Linked DNA regions of Neurospora crassa OR74A. The protein of the gene in region 3 interacts with the protein of the main gene of each other region in a biochemical or structural test. Links are inferred from orthologs where the notes say so. Each region holds a gene or a part of one and is shown on either strand. Other genes may lie near its edges. The genes, in order: rco-1, NCU02121 and rcm-1.

Region 1 (7,417 bases), on a different chromosome or scaffold from region 3:
TCGAGGGAAGAGTTACTTGCTATGATGTCGGAATCCACCACCGCATCCGGACCAACGGATGGCAGCTTGGCGAGAAGCGATGCTCGAGATCATCCACTGCCCACCACCGAGACTGACTCCGGAGCAGCACCACCACCAGTAACAGGAGAGAACAGACAGGGCAAGAATAAGAGCGAGAAGAAGAAGAGACCAAGGGACGATGAGGATGATAAGAACGACGATGAGGATAAGGATGACTTCTCTTCCGGACCGACACCACCAGTATCCGAGCAGAAAAAGAAAAAGAAAAGGAAGGCAGGAGATGACGGGACCGACATTGATGACATCTTTGCTTCGTTTGACAAGCCCAGCCAGAGAAAGAAGAAAGATAAAGCGGAGAAATCAGTTGTAGCTTCAAAGACCACAACCGTCACAACCTCGATAGCAACAGCTACAACAACAACCACGAAGGTGAAAACGACAACCGACTCATCGGTACCAACTACAACTACAACAACAACAACAACGCCAGCAGAAGCCGAAACACAACATGGCAAAGACGATCTTGACGACATTTTCGCTTCCCTCGAAAAGCCCAAAAAGAAAAAGACAAAGGTCAAGAAGACGGATGACCTAGATGACATATTTGCCTCGTTCGACAAGCCCAAAACGAAGAAGAAGAAAAAGAAGGCGGGGGCGGGAGCGGGAGCGGACGAGTTTGATGATATCTTTGGGGGGTTATGAAAAGGCGCTGCATAGTTGACTAGGCACCTACGTAGTATACTCACTCGCCTGTTATTGTTGGTGATGGGTATACCAGGTTTGTAGACACGAACGAGTAGCTCTGGATTGCTTCAAGTACAGTTACCAATTCGATGCATCTTGAGGTTTTGTTTGTTTCAAAGGCTACATGGTCATCGATAAGTGCTCGGTCCTTGCATTTGCCTCTCCCTTCTGGTTTTCTCATAGCAATACTATATCTATATACTACACCACCACGCTGTCACATTGTTTACTTGGCCCCTGGCAGCTTTCTAAGTGAACCAATCAAGAGAGGTCGAGTGAAGGCTTCAACACAAAGAGCAAGATAAATTGATCCGCTACTACTGACTGATTTGCTAGATATGATATCGGGAGACAATCTTGAACGAGCCAGCTTGAACATCGAACAAGACCCAGGATGGCCACGTCCTATGTTCTGCAATCGTCCTCCATCCATACCCAATAAACGAACGTGGGTCGTATCCCTCTCAGGCATGGCAATACGGCCTATTCCTACCCAACGTGTGCAAGTCCATAAGTCATAACCAAAAGGCATGTATCAAACAAAGGCCCAAGAAAAGGACGTGACCTTGGAAAAGCAAAACGGGATAAAACTTGAACTAATAAAATTTCTTTCTCGTTATTCCTTTCTGTTGTCCTTCCTAATTCATTTCAGAAATATCCTTGACGCCGTGTCCACATCACAATATCGACCAGGGAACACACTTTCTCCCTCTTCGTTCCTTCCTTGTATCGCTGATCTACTCTTTCCCTCTAGAATCCCAAAAATGATGGATTGGGTCGAATCTAGGGTTCGCATTGCAACTCCGCTGGTGTTTCTATATCCGAGAGTAAGACCAGATGCGGGCCCGCATATCACCAGATCCGGTAGCGAAGTACCCAACACCGTTGGGACCAGTCACTGGGCTGGGCGCCACGGAGATGACCGAGTTCTTGTGTCCCTGGAGCATGAGCTGTGTGTGGCCGGTACGGGGATCCCAGAACTGAACACCGCGGTCCTTGGAACCAGAGAGGACCCATTGCGAGTCAGGGGTCAGTGCAACGCTGAGGACGAAATCCTGTGACAAGTGATTGACACGTTAGCAAGATTGTAGAGGAATGGCCAATGGGGATATTAATGTGTAAACGTACTCTGTGGCCCTCGAAGGTCTTAATGCAGCGCCCACCCTTAGGAGGTGCCGAAGAAGGAATACCGCGCGGAGCACTAAGCTCCCACATTTTGATGGTCTTGTCCAAACTGCCGCTGACAAGGTTGCGGCCATCAGGAGAGAAAGCAACACTATAGACGCTGTCCTTGTGGCCGTCGGGGCCCTCAAGACGCTCCGCAAGGTAGCCTCTCATGTCCCAGACACGGACGCTCTTGTCCAGGGATCCGGCAGCAACGAATTGCTTGTCGGGCGAGATAGCAACAGTCGTGACACCATCTTCAATAGAGAGGACAGACGTGTTCTGCCCGGTTTCAATGTCCCAAAGACGGACGGTTCTATCACCACTGCCGGAAGCAATAGTGCGACCATCGCGAGAAAAGTCAAGACTGTAGATATCTTGTTCGTGGCCATGGAAGGTGTTACGAATGGTCCTCGACTGAATATCCCAGACCTATATCGAGCATGTTAGCAAGAGAAGACCACAACAGTTGGCTAAGGCATTGACACGTACTCTGATGAGCTTGTCCTCGGCTCCAGTGGCAAGATACTTGCCATCAGGGCTGAAGCAGACGCTTCTGATGTAAAGATCTCCAGTAAGATCGATGTTTTCGTCCTGCAGGATGCAAAGCTTCTCGCCAGTCTCCACGTCGTAGATCTGAGCGGAACGGTTGCAGCCCGTGGCAACGTACTTGCCATCCATGCTGAACCTCACGCAGCAAACAACGCTCTCATGCTGAAGAGTGTGAACCAGCTCAACGTCTAGTACCCTGGGAACGGCCGCGTTGAAGATAACCCACCAATCGTCCTTCATCTTCTTGATGTGATTCGGAAGGCGGTCGGGATCAAGCTCGCTCAAAGCGTTGGTCTGAGAAGGCGGAGGCGGAGGAGGCTGGTGGTGCTGAGCCATCCGGGTATGGTCCGGGGTAGGATGGGTTGGGACCTGGGGCGACTGAGCAGGGCCGCCGTTGTACGGGATGGGAGTGTTGATTTGAGGAGTAGCCGGGCCGCCAGCGGGAGGTCTGCCGATGCCACGCTTGCCGGCAGGGCCAGGAGAGGCAGTGCTCTGGGGCGGCTGGGGAGGAAAGTTACCAGGTCCCTGGGGCCCTTGATACTGCTGCTGGAAGGGAGGCTGCTGAGACGGCGGCGGGGGCGGGGGAGGAGGACCCTGCAGCCCAGGGGGCGCAGGCATATGTGCTGGCTGTTCTTGCTGCTGCGGTGGAGGGGGAGGAGGGACCAAGGCCTGCCCGCCCTGACCTGCCATGATCGCGCTAAAGACATTGCTTCCCAAACCAATAGCAGGGGGCTGCTGCTGGCCAGGATGCTGTGGAGGCGGGTTCATGTTGCCGGGAGCGCCTCCGCGGGCTTCAAGCTGGCGACGCAGCAGCGCAATCTCATCCTCGTACCTGGCCGGATATTGTCAGCCTACTTCTTTCGAGTCTCGGATATGCTTGACCGGGTTTTTTGTTTGACTGGCTTACTTTTGCTTTACGTTCATCTGGTGCTGCTCCATCTGGAAGACTTTCTCACGGATGACCTGAAGCTCCTGAAGCTGCGTTGCCACTATTGTCTGGTCAGCCGGGTACACGTCCCAAAGCCTAAGTCGCTGATCACAGGCCCGAAACAGCCCGCATCACCATGTACAGCTGGATTCCCTCGTTGCCAGATGGGAGGAGGATGGCCACCCAGCGGAGGGATGTGTGGAGAAACCCTTACAATCATGCTGGCAGGTCTCGTACTGGCGAGCTTGTGATTCGAATTCCATTCTGATGCCATCGAGGAGCTCGTTGAGGCGACCCATGTTCTGAATGGGCGCGCCCGCAATGGGTCGGTGCGGATACATGGACATTTTGCGTAGTTGGGGCGGTTGTCCGCGTGCTATGTTTTGGTGAAGCCGACGAGAAACGGACAGAAATCCAAGCCGGGAACGCTAGGGCGGTCGCGCAGGTTTGCGAAAGCTCAAGACAGCAATCGGCTGAAGGAAGCGAGAACGAGGGATGCGACCGATGATACAAAGGCGGCTGGCTCGTAAGATGACGCAGCTGGAGTGCAGCCGGCGTGAGGTCGGAACGAGCGTCGAGCTACCGTGCGTTGGGATGGCGTGCGCGCGGGACGGATCGCAGCGCGAAAAGACGCAAAAGATGGGGACCGCGAGGGGGGCTCGGAATCCCTAGTCGAATGGCACTGTACACAACCAAGGGCCAATGACGGGATCCGAGGGGTTGATGGGGATGGTGATGCTGGCGTTGCGCCAATTCCGATGTTTGTTGTTGGGAGGACTTGAGCGAAGCAGTTAGGGCTGCAGGCTGCAAATGCTGGTGTTGCTCCGGAGTAGTGTTGCCAAAGGGGGGAGGAGAAGGAAAAAGAAGTGGAATGGCCAGCAGGTGGCAGAAATGACCTGGGCGTGCGGGTTCTGGGGCGGCTCCCGGTGTGGATTCCCATGGACTTGCAGCCAGCGACACCACTCCCACCTCCAGCGGCTGCGGGCACTTGGGTCTTGGACTTCCTTCTTGGGAGGACAGGGAGGCGGGCTGCCGACGGGCTGCGGACAGGGCAGCAAGCTCGCAGTTCCACTTGTCAGCCTGTGGCCTGTGGAGGGTGGCACCGGTCACGCACTTAGTACCTACCTAGTGCATGTAGTGTACATCGGACGGAACGAAGGTACTTTCGTCGTATCTTGCGACCGAGAGGTACGTGGCTTCCTTTGATGTCGTCGGTAAACGGACAAGTCACTGAGCTTGCAAAGTGCTCCAGGCAGTACCTCGCATAGTACCTCGCATAGTCCATGAGCCACCCGCCATTGCTACGAGTTCCGACATGGATAGCAGGGTTTAGGGTTCCCTGTGTTACCTACCTAGGCGTAGAATATGGAATGGTAAGGCCAGAAGTGCGATTGTGGAGAGCATCTGCACAAGAGTGGATCTACGAGATTCTGGAGACCCAGTCGTCAGTGTTCGTGCGCCAGTTACGTAGAGGTGCCGCCCTGGTCACTGCTGTGATGGTTCCATTCCCGGAAAGCGAAAGAAGGTCGGCCCGGGTTGGGGGAGTGCATTGACGGACTCACCCCTCGATGTCTGCTCACCGCGTCCTGTGGTTGGGCTTTGTCACTTACGAGCACAAGGTAGCTGGTAGATGCACGTACGATTGTACACTGCACCTGTGTCAGCATAAAATTTGTTAGCGCGGTGATCTGTAGGTGGCGAGAACTTAATTTTCGTACAAGAGATGGCTAGCTTGACCACATCTAAGCCCCTATATACTGTCCGGTGGCGGTAGCGCGCTAACAAGTTTGCTGCCAGCAAAGGTGTACACAGTACATTGGAAACTCTTTCTTGCCTTTTTTCATCTTCCCAAGTTCGGATTGATCCAGGCGGGCAATCAGCGACGGGTATCCTGAGAGGCTACCTTTGCAAACAGTGACTACCTCTACTGCAAGTGTCGATAAGGAAAACATTCCCTTCATCCGTTGGTTTTTAAAACCAGGTGATTGCGAGGCGTCTGCCATTAGGCGCAAAACTCCAGACAAAACCACAGAGTGGTCTCCACGGCATTACGTACACTACAGTACCGTGGGGCAGAAACCATCGTCCAAGCGCTTACACATGCGGTTTTGAAACAATGCAAACCACTGCACAAACACAACCTCAACTCCCACTGCCACCGCGATGAATGCTACGGCATACAGCACACCATAACGCACTCGGTCTGCACGATATCGATTTAGCACCTCAATCAGGCATAGTTTTTGAGATGGACTTTGACCCTCAATATACAGGAACACAAACTCGCCTCCTTCAGACGACCTAGGTATCTTCTACGAACGCTCCCCCAGGTTCGGTTTTGCTTCATTTTGTGAGAGCTGCGGCCCGCTCAACGATGTGCAATCACGCGCGCCATGATGATCCGCTGCGTGGTGTATCTAATAAATATACACAAACTGCCAATTGGTCCAAAGCAGGAGTACGAACTAGGACCATTGCTTTCAACTTGTCCTGGCAATCTTCGAGCAACGTCAACTCACGAAAAACAATGACTTTCTGTTCTCGGTGAGTTGTCCTGTGCACCCTCTTACACACCTCTTGACCCGTTTCAGATCTGAGCAAGCGCACCACAACAGGAGACATCCATCGATCGCAGGTGTAGCCTTATGGAGCCACCCCGTCCCCTACCTTTCGATATCCCAGCGGCTATAATCATTGAAGCCTCAACAAACCCCGCTTGTAGCGCAGATAGCGACAGTAGATCCAGGTCTCTATCGACTGTGGCCAAGTGTACCTGGCTACCTGTCTTCGTTGGTTTAATCTTGTCATCGGAAGCGCATACATCACCTTCCCCTCTTTTGTGATGTGGTACCAAACCCGAACAAAACCAGTGAATCCGTCACCTCTATCTTCCTTCATGTTCCCTTGTACTTCCGCGCTCTGGTCCTTTTTTTTTTTTTTTTTTTTTGCGACTTGGTCAGGACCTCGTTCCTAGTTCAACCTCCGATGTCGAATGAACCGGCGGACAGACCGTATTTTATCCTCCAACGCCCAAATGTACTGGCTCCAGCCTGGCTACACAATCCAGCCACAAACAGGCTACTACGCGAGTCAGTAATGTGAAGGATCACTAAGGTTCTGACCAACACATGATTCTGCCTTTGCATGTCACACTGTCTCGTATATCTGGTGGTCCTTGCGTCAGGCTGGGTGTCGAGTACGAAGATAATTCCCATGTTTCAATCAACTGTTCAGCGATTGAATACTCGTTCAGTCGGTTTCTGTGGAGAGACCCTGAGCGATGTGTTGATGATATACGCCCCAGACAGTTGTTGCTTAGCTGGCTATGTCGCATGCTTCAACATTGCCTCGCTTCAAAGAGGCCATCATCTCACCCAGGCAGGGGGAAGTACCAGGAGCAGGTTGCATAGCGCAATGTATCCAGCTTCTGCCAGTGTTGTGGTTCGACAGAGAGTCCCTGCAACAGCCACATGTATACATTGTCCTCAGAGTGCTGATTGCCAGACAAGTGGATGTTCAGCTTTGGGAACTTGGGTTGACTGGACTCACCTTACCCATCCCATCGAATCAATCTGTTTCATCCGATGTCAATCCAGCAGTCGCTCCGAGGGGAGGTCAGAGCGGCACGTGGGTTGGGAAAAAAACCAATTCGGATCAAAGTTTGCCCACTTTACAACTTGCAACAAAGACGTTTTGATGGGAACATCGAATCTGATCAGCGCACTGACCCGATATGTCGAGTACATAGAGTGTATCCAGGTTCATTTGGATCTAATCTTATCAGATCTTACGGTGTGCGGGCCACACCATGCCGCTGTTGCCCCCTTTCTCTTTCTTCAGTTCTAAGCGAGCCCCGTATGCCCCGCTGAACGCCCATTGGGAAGGGCAAGTTCCTCGCCACAATCTTGAAACATTTCAATTTTGGATTGGTTGAGGGGTCAACGAAACAAGGGGGGGCACAGAAATTGCAGTCGAGTGATGAGTCCCAAGGTCAGGTAGGACCCGGAA
Region 2 (7,294 bases), on a different chromosome or scaffold from region 3:
CAGTCCTCGGTGACTGATGACCCTTGCGGTTCGATGGATCAGAGATCCCGTCATCGAGCAAGCTGTGTCCGCGCTCCGGTATGCCTTGTCTCGACGCAGCAGTATATCCCCCACTTTCTGCTAGTGGACCATCTCTTCTTGACTGGCGCGGGGCAGCCTCGGTGAGTCGCTCGCGAGGGGGAGTCGAAGTCTGGTCTGGTTCGTCATCTCGGATACTATACAGACTCGGGAACAAGGACGTAGAGATCGAAGGAGCTGGGGGGTATTGAATCGACTCCGCGGCTTCGGGGGTTAAACGGTCTCTGAGTGATCTCTTGGGCAGTGGATGGATTCTCCGTTCGCTTCGATATGCGGGCGACACCGACACCGTATCGGCGGAGGACATTCTTGTGACTTGCTCGTGTGCTCTGTCAGAAGCCAAATGCAAACGAATTAGCAACAGCAATGAAAGCCATTTGATGATTGGGAAGAAGTCATTTAAGAAGGCTAGCATTGGTGCCACACTGACTGAACAGCAACAACAAAAGAATGGCGGGACGAGAAGAAAGGCCGAGTGCAGGGCGAGGACAGAAGAGAGGCGCGGGGTTAGGACGGGAGGGGACTTGGGCGGACTCGACTGAAGAAGAGGTCGTTTGTTCATGCCGCGTAGTTCTGTGAAGTGGCCTTGGAAAGAAATCCAAGAATCGCAACGTGGAAGGCGCGTGCCTACGAACGTACCTTCAGGATATTACATAGTACCCAAGACAAGATGCTATCAACTTTCGAAGGAGCGCCAGCCGCCGAGGCACTTCACACGGAATATGCGTCAACCCGAGGGGATTCCCAGGCTGCTATAATCCGTATGATTGTGGAAGTTCTGTGATCCGGAGAACACCTTGGGAATACAAGTGGAAGGAAACGAAGGCGCCGACGTCGCTTTGGATGTATCCCTTTCTGCCCAAAAAGACTCATCAGCACCGAAGCCTTGGGAAAAGGAGGGGAAACGCCATGGCAGTTGTGTTCTCGTTGTTTATGCCTGGACCGGTAGATGAAATATTTTCTCCCCAAGTTGCCACCGCATCGTCTATCATAGCAAGAACTTCCTGAATCGTCGGGATACCACACCAAGGGACAAATGAAACAGCATGGCGGGGAAGGCGGCGAGAAGGGGGAGGGGGGGGGGGGGGGGGGGGGGGGGGAAATGAAGCCATACAACTGAGGGGACAATCAGCTGCTAATCACAAGCACCCACCTTCTTGGCTCGAATCTGGCTCGTGCGGATATCCGGTGGCCAGGTTGCAGGCAAACTCGGGGGAGAGCTATAGGAAGGCCAAAACAAAAGAAGCCAACTCAAACCAGCACTTTGCCCGAGTCAGTGAGACGGGTGTCGTGTATCGGTGCAGTGGTGTTGAGGGGTGGAAAGCAATGGAGTTCAGTGGTTGTGATTAGGAGAAGCGGGTGTTCACTGTAGTGAGGGCGGGCGGGATGGTAGGCGGGACCTAATCGACGCACCCTTGGCTGCATTATGTAAGCATCCCGTCCTTAACCACCTCACTGCAGTTGGTCGTCTGGACAGCGCGGGTTTCGGGCTGTGATTCTGAGGAGAGGGCAGCCAGAGGTCGGTGACCCAATGCCGCTGCCTGCCATGCTGCCAGAACCTAGAAGTACACCCGCTGTTCCGCCCCCGCCTTCCACTTGTAGTTCCCGGCCGGGGGAGCCTCCATTCGGTTTCCGGTTCCCATCCGAGTGAATAGCCTCACGCATGGCATTGGGTCTCTCCCCAACATGGAGAGATCAACGGAAACTGAGAGATCACCCAATAATGATACCCTAGAGGCCGACAGCAATCACGAACCGTCGAGCATACTGGTGTTCCCACGGGTACACTACTGGAGACTCCAAGGAACAGCCCCAAGTGAGATGCTGAATTTCCATACCGTGACCTCTCTAGCTACTGTACTGAGCTACCTGTACGTTTTTCGATTTCCCAAATCCAATTGGAAGATCATGGGGAAGTACCGAGTCGACTGATGTTGACCCATTAACTACCTCTAGGTACCAGCTAGTGTACCTTGGCTTGACTTCCCCAGCAACCGAGCTTCTTTCTGGGTGGGCAAGTCTCTCTGTCTCTACTTACCATAATCATCGCCGTGCACACTCACATTGAAAGCGACCTGAATGGAGGCCGGGTTGTGGGCGGCGGTTCCTGAATGCCGGACGCACTGTGCTTACACTAGTACTAGTACAGTATTCGAGCAAGAGCCAAGCGTTTTCCATCACAGGCAGAACACTGCGGTGCCGGTGCCATTCATAGGTAGTTGCATCTGATTTGATGCCGCCCTGACAACACCATGTACTGCCATTTTCCCTTTGAGAAGCAAACGAGACCCATTCGACGACGGTAGGTGCAATTTCACTTGGAAAGCTTTGCTCAACTCGACAACAACCTGAACCAGACCCGACCTGCAGCGAGCAATGAACCGAACCCCCGCCTCCCCTTCAGGTTCCCATTACCCCAAATAATTTCCCCTTGTGTGCAACAACGAGTTTCGTTGTCTTCCACCATCGATGTTTGTTTGAACCACATTTCACTTCAAACCCTTTTCGGTTTTCAAGATGCCCCTTATTCTCTTGTCGGTCCAGGTTGGACACGGGCTTCACCTATTGAGGCGTGATGTCATAGCACGAACCCTCCCCGACGGACGGTACCAGTAATTCACCACTCTACGGCCTCTACATACCTATGCATACGACTTTCTTACATCAAACTATATCTACTCGTCTCTGGAAACTGAACAGCATCGACAAGCCGGCTTTCGACGCCGCATCCCAGAGATCATTGATATCCTGGTCGAGCTGGCCCATTATCTTTTTCCCGGCACCGGATTGGTCAACATGGGGACCGAGCTTCCAGATGGCCCCGCACGCTTTGGCGCTGCCACTGCCGCTACCGTGAGGAGGAGTGAGGAGGTGCCTGAGTGACGGACGGGATCAGACCGGGGTTGGTGGGTGGGTGGGCGGCAGCCAGAGTGGGTGCCCGGGCGGACAGCTTTCTGCCAAAATTTACTGCAAGCAACTGCAAGAGCGCCGTGTCGGGTTGGTGGTGGTGGTGGTGGTGGTGGTGGTGGTGCATCGTGGTGCCGTGGTGCGGTGCGGTGGTCCCGTCTTTTTTGGGGCTGGCAACTCGACTAGGTCCCGGGCTCGGTTTCCACCATTGTACACACACCAAGAGAGACCAGCCATCGCTTCCTCCTTCCAGGCAGTGCCGTCCTCGCTCTCCTCTTTTCTGGAAATCCTCACCACGTACACCCTGGGCCACAGACACGAAAACCCGACTTGTCGAACTTTGTTATTTCCGTCATGAGAAATAGTTTACCACCCACCTACCACGTCGACCACCGCTCCCCGATCTCCAATTTGGCGTAGCCAGCACTTCGGATCCCGTCATAGACATCTCGTCTCGCCGTCCTCCGTCCCCTCTTCTTCGTTTTTTTTCCCACCCTCGTACCCGCTCAATCTTTTACCCAAGTTAGCAGCGAACGAGTCTTGCTTTCGTGGACATTTACACAAGCAAGCCGGCGACATCCTCATCTCGAGCACGCCCCCGATCGAGCACCCTCCTCACTTGGCTGGATTTTCGACCTGAGCCCTCGCGATCCTCCGCCGTCGGTCGATCCATCCTCGATAATTTACGCTTCTCTACCACCAAGCACCGGCTTCAAGCTACGATTCGAACCTAGCACGAGTCTCATAACCTCGACACCTTCGATTGCATCTTTACTCGACGATTGTGTCAGATTCAATTTGCGGTCGAGACTCGGCCTCGTCGAGTCCTCGCTTCTCCGTGACCACATCGACAGACGACCGCGTGATTCGGGTCTGCTCCCGCCATCACGCCCCATTACTTCTCCGACCATCCACATCGCAATTGTCGAGCTTCAAGTAAAACGAAATTGTTTTAGTGCTAGGGTGCGTCATTGTCCCCAGGCACTCCGGATACCCGACCGCAGAACCCCCTCCCAACGGGCCTGCGGATCGCGTTCTTCTCTTCGACACCAATCGTGTCGATTATATACCCTACATACTTCGAGCTCCTGCCTTGACTGCGGCCCCAGCTGCAAGCAATGGCAGGGTCCGATCCGAGGCGGTCGTCAAGAGCGCGAACCTCCCAATCACAATCGCAAATCTCGTCCAGCACGTCCAGCACGTCAGGTCGTGGTGAGCGCAGCACCAGGTATTTCAACAAAGCTGTCTCACCACAAAAGTCAAGCTCCTCGGGATCGCTATCCTCTGAGGCTCCAGACGAGACAATTACAGCGGACGACTCGTTTGGTACCCGGCGTCGTACCCGCGGTCAGCAGGAAGAAAGAGAGAGGGCAAATAACAAGTCTGAGCAGGTCGAAATGGCACACGGCGACGATGACGCTCAAGACGAGGACGAGGCCGTTCGTTGCATTTGCGGCTACGAGGACTACCCAGGCCCTCCGCCGTTTGACGAAGACTCCAAGCATGGCTTGAAGGACGGCATGGATATCGATCCCATATTCGCGACCGATGTCACCGACGATGCGGCCGGATTTTTCGTACAATGCGACATTTGCAAGGTCTGGCAACATGGCGCCTGCGTTGGCATTATGACCGAAGAGTCAAGCCCAGACGAATATTTCTGCGAAGAGTGCCGCAAAGAATTCCACAAAATTTTCACAGCGAGCAACGGGTAAATCTTGCATTTCTTTGGTCCCGTGGCTGCATGGTCGGGAGCTGAACGTCAAAAGTTCAGCTGGAGTGCGTCAAAGCCCATCACACGCCTTTGACGTTGCCTCACCTTTCATGCAATATCCTCCTCCATCCACGACAATTGTCAAATCACTCTCCAGTCGACTGACGACATGATTCACAGACAACGCTATTCGCACTACCTACCCCTTAAGCGCCCCTCTCGAACCACTTCTAGATCCGCCTCTCTCAACAAGGATGGCACGAGATCACCGCCCAAAGATAAACCGGAGGGCCGCAACGGACGTGGTACGACCACTTCCTCCGCGTCGAAGCGAAGATCTACAATGAACAGCCGAGGCGCTGACTACGACGAAGCTGAAGCCCTGAGACGGGCGATTGAAGCAAGCAAAGAAGATGCAGCTTCTGAACAACCCGAAACTACCACGAGAAGAACAAAGCGAGGCAGAAGCGATAGCGAAGAGTAGGTCCACGTCCTACGCTGCCCGACATCAATAACCGCTAACCCTCTTCAAGAAAGTCAGAAAACAAGAGGCAGAGGACGAGCTCTCGATCGGCCTCTCCTAGCCTTGACAAGACCACTGAGGACTCTGACGACGCCGGCACAACAACGCGGAATGGTGCAAAGTCTAGATCGCGGGGCGGCGTAGCAGGCCGCACTCTGCGCACCGAGAAGACAACTGAAAAAGAAGAACGCGAACGACAAAGGGCTGAGGCAGCAAACAAGCGAAAGGGTAGAGCTGAGCGCCGGCGAGCTGATGGTACGAAAGCCACGACTCTCGCGAAGGCATCTGGAATTGACACAGATACAGATTCAGACCCTTCGGACGAGTTACCACTAGCAGCTCGTGCGGCAGTGAACAAGACGCCCGCTACAACGACACCGGTCGCAGCCGCCACCGCCGTGACCACTACAACGACTACTACTACCACTACTATGGCTACCCCTGCCGCTGCGGAAGAACCGGCAGAACAAGAAGAACAATCACCAGCGGTACCCGAACCCCCTCCTGCCTCACAGTCCACTCCGGAAGACCCTCCCGCTGCAGCTACTCCCACAGCCAAGATTGAGAAGAAGCGATCACATAAGAAGAAGGGTCGCAATCAATACACACGTGATGACAACGAGCCATCGCCTGCAAGATCACAGTCAGGGGAGGCACCAGCTGAAGTACCGCCTCCTCCGAAGCCAAGTAAGGCCGAAGAGAAGGCTACTGGACACGGAAAACAAGGGAAGAATAAGGGTGGGATGAACAGCAAGATCACCATGACTGACATGAAGAGGAGGGCCGCAGCACTCCTTGACTTCATTTCGCGAACCCAAGTTGAGCTTGCTGGCGAGTCACCATCGGATGATGACAAGACGAACGGCAACAGCGTCGCACCACAGTTAGCAACTGACTGTGAAAAGCCAGGGTCGGCAACAGGCATACTCGGGGTCAATTGCTCGACCCCAGCCGCTGTCATGACTTCAGAAGGGCAGCTAGGAAAGGATTTCAAGGACCTCAGCTGCGTGGAGATGATGGACAGCTTGACCCGGAGGTTGGTCAAGTGGCAGCAGGAGTATACAGTGTGATACAATGAGCGGATAATGGATGTTATACTTGATGTGCATGTGGCATGGATTACGTCGGATAAAGGCTGATGATAACTTGCACGTTTTCGATTTTGGGTTTCTTTTTTCTTTTCCACTTTCGTTTGTCTTGGTGTTTTCTCGGGCAGAACGGTGCTATCATTAGGCAGGTTTTTGCGATGATTGGATGCTTTCGAAGTTTTATATCGAGAGTACTCGGGATAGCTGTATCCTCCCTTCCACCTACTGACGACGTGGGCGAATGGGTGGTGAGGCCAGCGATGCATTTATTGGGGCGTTTTTTTTTTTTTTTTGGGTTTAAACAGGATAATTGGTTCTGGTAGTACCTAGGACGGCGTGGGTATCATTGATAACGGAGTATAGAGTTTTCAAGAATTTCATCACCTAGGTTTATTTTGCCATGATGCTATTTCGTTCGTGTGTGGGTATCAACCATCATGCTCTCTCGTTGTTATTTGGCCTTTGATGCTATGCTCGTACTATGCCATGCCTGCTCATGCTCATGCTATGCTATTAAATCATTATCGTGTCGAATTCATCGCCGTACATGTATCATCCGTCCAACGTTCAACTACACGCCTTCAAACTTTTCTTTTCTTCACTCGCGTAATACAGCAAAACAAACCCTTGAAACATTCACCACAAAATCATCCAAGATCACCTCTGCTTCTCCTTCACACCCTCATTGATCATCCCCGTCGACGTCATCGCCAGTCCCCTCTCCACGTCGTCCTCACCCACATTTGCGCTCGCACTCACATTCTCATCACCACCACCCCTCTCTCCCTCTCCCCTCGCTGCTTTTTCCTCCTCACTATCCTCCGGCTTCCCCGGCCTACACGCCCACCCATCCACAAACCTCAACGTCTCCCTGCCCCATATCCTATTCATGATCCACAGCCTCACGGGGACCAAAATGATGATAATCACCGGAAACCCCGGCGCCGCGACCGTCAAGGTCACGCCGAAGATGATGCCCGTCAG
Region 3 (7,285 bases):
CTCCCGATGCTATCGCTAGGTTGGGGTGTGGCCCGCCGGAATAGAAGGAGGGGGGTGAGATTTCGTACCTGTTCGTACCGAGTACTTTGTCGACTGACCCTTGGAGTGGAGGTCCCCTGCGAGGAACGTGTCAGCGCGCGCCCACTCTTCCCCCCCTTCCCGCAGCTCGTCAGCGTCAGGCACACCACGACAGAGTGATTGATTGGAGCAACAGACCTCCTTCTTCTTTGCCATATCACTGGACGCCCGTCCAAGCCACCATGGCCACTTGTCGGCCAAGTCGACAGCCACACCAGCAGACCAGACACCGCCTAAGGGAGATCATCGCTGGGTCGTCTGGTAGGGCAAGTCCTGAAAAGGGAAGGGAGTTGGGATGAAGCGTTCCCCAACCCAGGCGAATGGTAGGACAAAGAAAGTTATACTACATAGTAGAGCCGCTGCATCTAGTTGGATACCTAAGTACAGATCGGTATGGGAGTTGCCCGTCAGATCGAAAGTCAGTTCACCGCTCTGGTACGGAACCCGAATGGTGAAGAATGCTTGTCTGTTGGTGCTTGCCAACCGCCCGGCACCTGGCTGCAAAGGCCGAAGTGCCCAGGGAAGATTGCGGAAAGAGCGGGGTACATAGTTAAATGACGGCCGCACATGGAAGTGGTGTCGAGCCTCAGATGGACGAGTGGAACACAGGGACAGCTTCCACTTCCACTTTGATAAACTACTTGCTCGGATTTGGGGAAAGACCTGGACTTCAGTCTGTAATGACACTGCGGCACGAGTCAGGAACTTGAAGCAAAACGTAAGGGGGAGGAACATCACCTGCCTCCCATCATATACCTCCACCCGGCACTCATGCTGTTGTGCGTGACGGACGTGTTTTTTTTGGCTCGGTGCGGTGCCGATCCACGGAGCTATTGTGCGCGGGTGGCCCAGGGTTTTGGAAGCTTTCAGGATGCCTAGCCGGAAGAGTACGAGATGATCGCTGATGGAATGGCTTCACTTGTTCGATCTGCATCTAGGCACGTACCACCAACGCCAGCCAGGCTGGTAAACATGTTCAACCGCACCATTCACGCTTTCCCTTTGAATGGGATTGAGAGTGGATTCGTGCACTCATCTGGTCGTCAAGGAGTCTGTTGGTTGGATACCGATGGATGCTAGCCAGTGATAGTTCACTCGTCCATTCCATGTACCTTTGTTTCTCCTTTGACGGCAGTATGTGTCCGTTGTCGCACACTAAGATCAGGGCAATGTTCGATTATACTGCGTATAGTCAGTCTAGCCAGACGATCGGTTTGAAGGCCTGACGAGTACCATGGTGTGGGTGTGGTATTCCCTATGGACACTCCGAGTCCCAAGTTGGCTCCTGCCATTAATAGGTAGCTTTGACATTGTACAGTCATGGAAGATACCTACGATACCTTTAGGAAAAACTTTAACCGTGGGTGTTGCGTGCTTCTACAGATTCTCCCAACCACACACCCACGGTTATTATTTCTGTTGGTCAAACTGGGGTGCAAGCTAACTGACATTTTCGTCCAAGTTTTCCGTCAAACAAAAGAAAGTGATTCAGATGAAGACAAGGGTGAATGCTGCAGGTTTTTTTTTTTTTTTTTTTTTTTTTTTTTTTTTTTTTTTTTTTTTTTTGGTATTCCTCCTGTGTTGTCATGTGATGTATTTGCTTCTCGGAAGTCCCTCGGTAGATAAGGTAAGTAATGGCATGGACCTTACCTATTTGCCCATGTATCAGCATGTCTGATCTTGTACATCCGATGCTGGGTACGGATATACTGAGATTCATTGTTGCAGGTCAATGAATGCAAGCGTAAAATGTGAAAAACATTCACCCTTGACGCATCCGAAGTGAAAATGCGAGGTAGGCGTATGCAAGGCGGCTGGGAGATTCCGTCCCGTTGTTTTCCGGTCTTGAAGGGCCAGAAGCACGGAGGAGGCTAGACTGCAGCGGAGAGTACATCATATCTTCCAACATGGATGCATATGTCCTTGCCCTACATTGCTTCTTCCGCTCATCTATCTTGCGACCAGACCACATAAACTACGAGCACTCTCGCGCGATGCCTGTGTACGTACCTACTGCTGTAGCGGATGATGGGAGAAGTGGTGAGAACCCAGACTGTAAAGCCGCAAACCTGAGTTCCAACATCAAGACGGAACATATATGATAGACGGCCTGAAGACAAGCTGGCCATAGTAGTGACCTGAGTTTCGTTCGGAAGCTCTTGGGCCTCTTCATCTCGACGGCATGTGGGAGTAGGTTGCTCTCTTGGTCTTGGACCAGGGGCACCTTCCCTTACCCAGACCCCTCACTCTACTCGAGACTGTACACTATGCTACTGCCTACAGACTTAGGTTGGCGGCAAGGACTCCAACTCGTGTTGTTTTCGATGTCTTGGAAATCATAGGTAGCTCTACCATTCTATGCCGGCTGTCTGGATACCTACCTACCATGTCTGGATAATCTCTAGGCGTGATACATATTGCCTCACCTCTGCCTCTACATTCTCATCGTGGTTCCTTGGCCTCGGCCAGGGGCAACCCAACCGCACTACGGGCAACAAGGGTCAAGAGTCCAGCTACTATGTAGTAGGTAGAGGTAGGTTCCGTTAGTTGGCTCGTGCTCGTGCTCGTCGCTCCAAGTACATCGGTACCTAGGTAGGTACACGGCACTAGGCACCCCGACCCCGGTGCAGCCAAGTGGAAGTGGACGGAAGCACCCCTGTGCCCACCTCGCCCCGCCCCAATGTACCGCAACCTGCCACGACCTGCCAGCCGTAACCGGGCTGGGCTGCCTGTGCCGCCAGGGCCTTGTGCAGCGCGTGTGGGTCACTTATCTTGGCGCGCCGTATGACATGCGGCACCAAGCGGAACCGGGAGCAAATTCCAAACTTACCTAGCCAAAAGTACGTACACGACGCCGTGGGTTAGGGGAGTTTGCAAAAGTGGTCAGAACTCCCCGTTCAGCGAATCGAGCTGCTTCCTGGCCGCCTTCCCCATTGCCTTTAGATCGCCTCTTCCCCAGCCAATTTTGCCCTTCCCCCTTCCCCTTCTTTTTCTCCCGTCTCCCGCCGCCTTCGCTGCCTGCATCGCGCACGACTCTTTCTGCGCAAACCACCACCTTGGACCTGATTCCATCCCAACTCAGCCGGTGTACCCCCTTCACACCAGCCAGCCATTGCCGCGAGCAATAATTTTCGCATTGCTCGTCTCGTCCAAATCTCCATCTCGAACAAAAAAGAGAGCACGACGTCGCCATTCCGACCTCGGTAGCTTGGGCGCATCTTGTCCAACTATAAGAAGCTGCGACAGGCTGCCGCCCTCTCGTCGCCTTCATTCGCAATCAACTTTTCTCGGTTTTTGACAATCGCGTCCGCCCAACAACACACAAGAACCGGGCGCTTCATCGTCACGACCATTGCATTGCTGACGCCGTCGCCACGTATCGTTGTGGTCCAGCCGCCCAAAGAGCAGAAGCCTAACAATTTGGTTGGTACAGTCATCGTGACTGACTGCGCATCTTGACAACGGCCCCTGACACCACCCTGCTACCTACCTAGTACCTACATACTATCCCCGTAGCGTCCCCGGGAACAGCTGCATGGGATACCAAGGCTGTATTGCTATCGCCTTGTGAAACTTTGAATTCTACCTCTACTGTTAAGTTGGGTCGGCAGCGCTACATTGGCTTCCGCCCCCGCCTCTTCCAATTTCCTATAGTCCATCGAGGAGCAACACGCCATCCACGCGCTACTCCTGCAACATCGCCCAAATGGCAAACCACCACCCTTCCCCTACGATGCAGATGCAAATGCATCACGGCCCGCCAGGGCCCCCAGGTCCACCGCCGGCGTCGATTCCTTCATGGAATCAACAGCGGCAGGCCTTTATGAGCTTGACCGAGAATGTGTGGATCGGAATCGGTATGTGCTTCCCACGCCGTTGTTGGCTGCCTCTTTAGGCTATTTTGTATGATGCTAATTTAGCAATCATGGTAGGTTCCGTGTCCGAGCTCATGGGGAACCACAACGAGGCACTAGAGGCTTATGAAAGGGCTCTTGCAGCCAACCCCAACTCTGTGACTGCTATGAATGCCGCCAGTCTCGTCCTTAGGACGCGCGAGGACTTCCCCAAGGCGTCGGAATATCTGCAGAGGATCCTAAAGATCGAGCCTGCAAACGGTGAAGCATGGGGCAGCCTCGGTAAGCAGCCCCCTATTCGCCACGTATATTTCAATAAATTCGGGTCCTAACTGTTGGTGTCTAGGACATTGCTTTCTCATGATGGAGGACCTCCAACAGGCATATGCTGCGTACCAAGCGGCCTTGGTTAACCTTCCCAACCCAAAGGTGCGTGCATTTGTACCTCTTGGGGTGCCTCTTTTCAGAATTGACAACGGTTTGGCTAACTGTCTGTTGATTGCAGGAACCGAGGCTTTGGTATGGCATAGGTATTCTTTATGATCGCTATGGCTCTTTGGACCATGCAGAGGAAGCATTCTCGCAGGTCATGGCCATGGACCCCAACTTCGACAAGGCTCATGAGATATATTTCCGTCTCGGCATAATCTACAAGCAACAGCATAAGTACCAGCAATCGCTTGATGTAAGTCGACAGCATTGTCTTGATAAGATCGGCATGAGACAGCCAGCTTACTCGTCAACAGTGCTTCAGATACATTGTCAACTCTCCTCCTACTCCTTTGACCGAAGAGGATATCTGGTTCCAGATTGGTCACGTCCATGAACAGCAAAAAGACGTAAGTCTGCTTTGCATTTTATACTTCTTTCCTCGACTCTTAATCCTGACGTTGTGGCAGTATGATGGTGCCAAGCAAGCCTACGAGCGAGTGCTGCAACGTGATCCAAAGCACGCAAAGGTCCTTCAGCAGTTGGGCTGGCTGCATCACCAGCAAAGTAATTCAGTCGCCAGCCAGGAAAAGGCAATCGAGTACCTGAATCAGTCCGTTGCAGCTGGTAAGTTTCGATGCATTTGGCTTCTTCATGCACCTATACTGACATAATCCAGACCAAACCGATGCCCAAAGCTGGTACTTGCTCGGTCGTTGTTACATGCAACTTCAAAAGTACCCTAAGGCATACGAGGCTTATCAGCAAGCTGTTTATAGGGATGGCAGGAACCCTACGTTCTGGTGCTCGATTGGTGTGTTATACTACCAGATCAACCAGTATCGTGACGCCTTGGACGCCTATTCCAGGGCCATCAGGCTCAACCCCTTCATTTCTGAAGTTTGGTATGACCTTGGCACTTTGTATGAGTCTTGCAACAACCAGATCAGCGATGCTCTGGACGCTTATCAACGTGCCGCCGAACTGGATCCCAACAACCCGCATATCAAGACCAGATTGCAGCTCCTCCGAAGTGGGCAAGCTAATGGCGGCGCACCCCCGGGGTCAGTCCCGATGCCCACTGATATCCACCCCCAGACGTATAATGCATCCGGTGCGGTTGGTCCTCCGGGCCCTCAGTGGGCGGGCTCAGGCTCAGGCCAGCCTCCTCATCAACCGCCTCAGCCGATGCACAACGGTGGCCCTGGCCCGGGCCAAGGGGCCAACTCGTGGGGTGGAAGAATTTCCGACATTAACCCTCCTCCCCAGCCGCCGAACCCATATGCCTCGGGTCAAGACCGGGAGCCCTTTCGTGGTCCCGCTCCGCCGCTTCCCAGACAGCCCAGCCCGCGACAGGAGCAGCAAATGAGGCCTTATCAGGAGGCCAGGGCGCCCGAGCCGCTCAGAAGAGGACCTACCCCTCCCCAGGCTCATTACGCCCCTCCACCCCCTCCACCTCCGCAACAACCGCACCAGCCGCACCCGCAGCAACAGCTTCAGCAAGGACCTCAACCTACTCGGGAAGGGGGTAGTGGTACTAGAGTGAGGAACCCGAACTACGCTAATCCCCAGAACGTGGTCCCTTCCAATTCTGGTCCTGGCCCAAACGGCCCTCCTCCTCCAAACGCAATGATGCATTTTAACAACAGTCCGAGGACTGATGGAAGACCACCCCACATGCACGAGAACCGCATGCCGTCTCCCAAGTCCGCCTATCCTCAGCATCAGCCGCCGTACCCTCCGCATGGTGAGCAGGGCGGTCCTGGTGGCCCTGAGCCAGGCCCTCCTCACCCCCCTCAGTCAGGTATGGCTGGTGAACCTCCTCATCAGAGGGAGCATGATCCCCGCCCTCCTTCGGTTGGCCCCAAGAGAATGCGTGAGTGGGAAGACGACCGGGAGGTGAAGAAGCCTGCGACGGAGGAGACTCGCGTCCGTATGGATGACCATAGGCACCGCCGCCCCTCGATGACCCCGCCCCGAATGGAGCCGCCCTATGCTCGTCGCAACTCGTCGGAGGCTCGTCGCTTCGACGAGCGTCGTATGGAAGATTCCCGTAGGGTTGAGGAGCAGCGCCGGGCTGAGGAACAACGTCGCATGGAGGACATGCGCCGGGCTGAGGAGCAGCGGCACCAGAACGAGGGATACCATCCTTCGGAGGCCGCTCATCATCCCCAGTCTCATTCCGCCCCTGCCCATTTGCCGCCGATGCAGCAAGGTTCGGCTCCGATGCAGAACCTCATCCACGAGCAAGGCCACGGACCCCAGCAGCCAGTCCCCGGACCTCAGCAGCAAGGCCCAGGCCCAGCACATCAGCCCGCCCCCGAAGACCGACGGATGGACCATCCTCCAGCCCAGCACCCCCCCATCGTCAATGAGCCTGAGCGTGCGGCCCGTAAAATGGACGTTGACGAGGACTATGACGATAGCGGAGAGGAGGACAAGAAGGGCGGAATTATTCCCGGTCCTTCCTCCGGATCCGGCCCTGCAGCAAACGAGTCCAAGAACGGAGCCTCAACGAGCGGTAGCTTCAACGGCATCATGGGACAAAAGTCAGAAAGCAACTGATTACATCATCTGCCGTGTACCTCGAGCTTCTGCGCGAGAGACAAGACCCAGTGTATCTGCTTATAATACGGCAGAGGTAGGAGAACCCAAGATCCTGTCGATGTCATAATGGTTTTGCTTATGGATGGGAATGTACGTCGACTTGTTCGTTTTATGTGGTTTGAAAGAGTGGTCATCATTTCACACACATGGATGATGGAGACAGAAGGACCTGTGAAGCTCAAGATCTCATGGGTGCGAAATGCACTATTTTACCACGTTTTGACTGACCGGTAGGAGATGAGGAGGGAGAGGAAGGAGCGGATTCCGATGTACATACATTATTATGACTTGTGTTTGGAATAGAAGCGTGTGCATGT

Evidence for each region.
Region 1: the proteins of rcm-1 (region 3) and rco-1 form a complex in vitro, tested with the Saccharomyces cerevisiae proteins (6 studies listed by BioGRID). The link is inferred for Neurospora crassa OR74A from reciprocal best matches to the Saccharomyces cerevisiae genes CYC8 and TUP1.
Region 2: the proteins of rcm-1 (region 3) and NCU02121 form a complex in vitro, tested with the Saccharomyces cerevisiae proteins (3 studies listed by BioGRID). The link is inferred for Neurospora crassa OR74A from reciprocal best matches to the Saccharomyces cerevisiae genes CYC8 and CTI6.

What each region holds. Positions count from the first base shown.
Region 1 is NC_026503.1:1,903,176-1,910,592, forward strand, and holds rco-1 (transcriptional repressor rco-1), read right to left. Parts: upstream 4,277-7,417; 5' UTR 3,757-4,276; coding exon 3,624-3,756; intron 3,471-3,623; coding exon 3,389-3,470; intron 3,314-3,388; coding exon 2,422-3,313; intron 2,362-2,421; coding exon 1,894-2,361; intron 1,821-1,893; coding exon 1,581-1,820; 3' UTR 1,046-1,580; downstream 1-1,045. Other genes in the region: NCU06204 (hypothetical protein), read left to right, coding at 1-723. UniProt on the Saccharomyces cerevisiae protein: Acts as a component of the CYC8-TUP1 corepressor complex which is involved in the repression of many genes in a wide variety of physiological processes including heme-regulated and catabolite repressed genes.
Region 2 is NC_026501.1:1,171,878-1,179,171, reverse strand, and holds NCU02121 (transcriptional regulator), read left to right. Parts: upstream 1-2,665; 5' UTR 2,666-4,103; coding exon 4,104-4,696; exon of another isoform or gene 4,697-4,868; coding exon of another isoform or gene 4,869-4,879; coding exon 4,880-5,179; intron 5,180-5,232; coding exon 5,233-5,477; coding exon of another isoform or gene 5,478-5,528; coding exon 5,529-6,292; 3' UTR 6,293-6,696; downstream 6,697-7,294. Other genes in the region: NCU10232 (hypothetical protein), read right to left, coding at 1-385; NCU02122 (HCO3), read right to left, coding at 6,968-7,294. UniProt on the Saccharomyces cerevisiae protein: Component of the RPD3C(L) histone deacetylase complex (HDAC). Responsible for the deacetylation of lysine residues on the N-terminal part of the core histones (H2A, H2B, H3 and H4).
Region 3 is NC_026502.1:1,787,548-1,794,832, reverse strand, and holds the start of rcm-1 (RCM-1, variant), read left to right. Parts: upstream 1-3,024; 5' UTR 3,025-3,501; exon of another isoform or gene 3,502-3,572; 5' UTR 3,573-3,784; coding exon 3,785-3,935; intron 3,936-4,010; coding exon 4,011-4,214; intron 4,215-4,278; coding exon 4,279-4,361; intron 4,362-4,437; coding exon 4,438-4,617; intron 4,618-4,678; coding exon 4,679-4,771; intron 4,772-4,831; coding exon 4,832-4,988; intron 4,989-5,040; coding exon 5,041-6,926; 3' UTR 6,927-7,285. Other genes in the region: NCU06841 (hypothetical protein), read right to left, coding at 69-311, 1,025-1,052. UniProt on the Saccharomyces cerevisiae protein: Acts as a component of the CYC8-TUP1 corepressor complex which is involved in the repression of many genes in a wide variety of physiological processes including heme-regulated and catabolite repressed genes.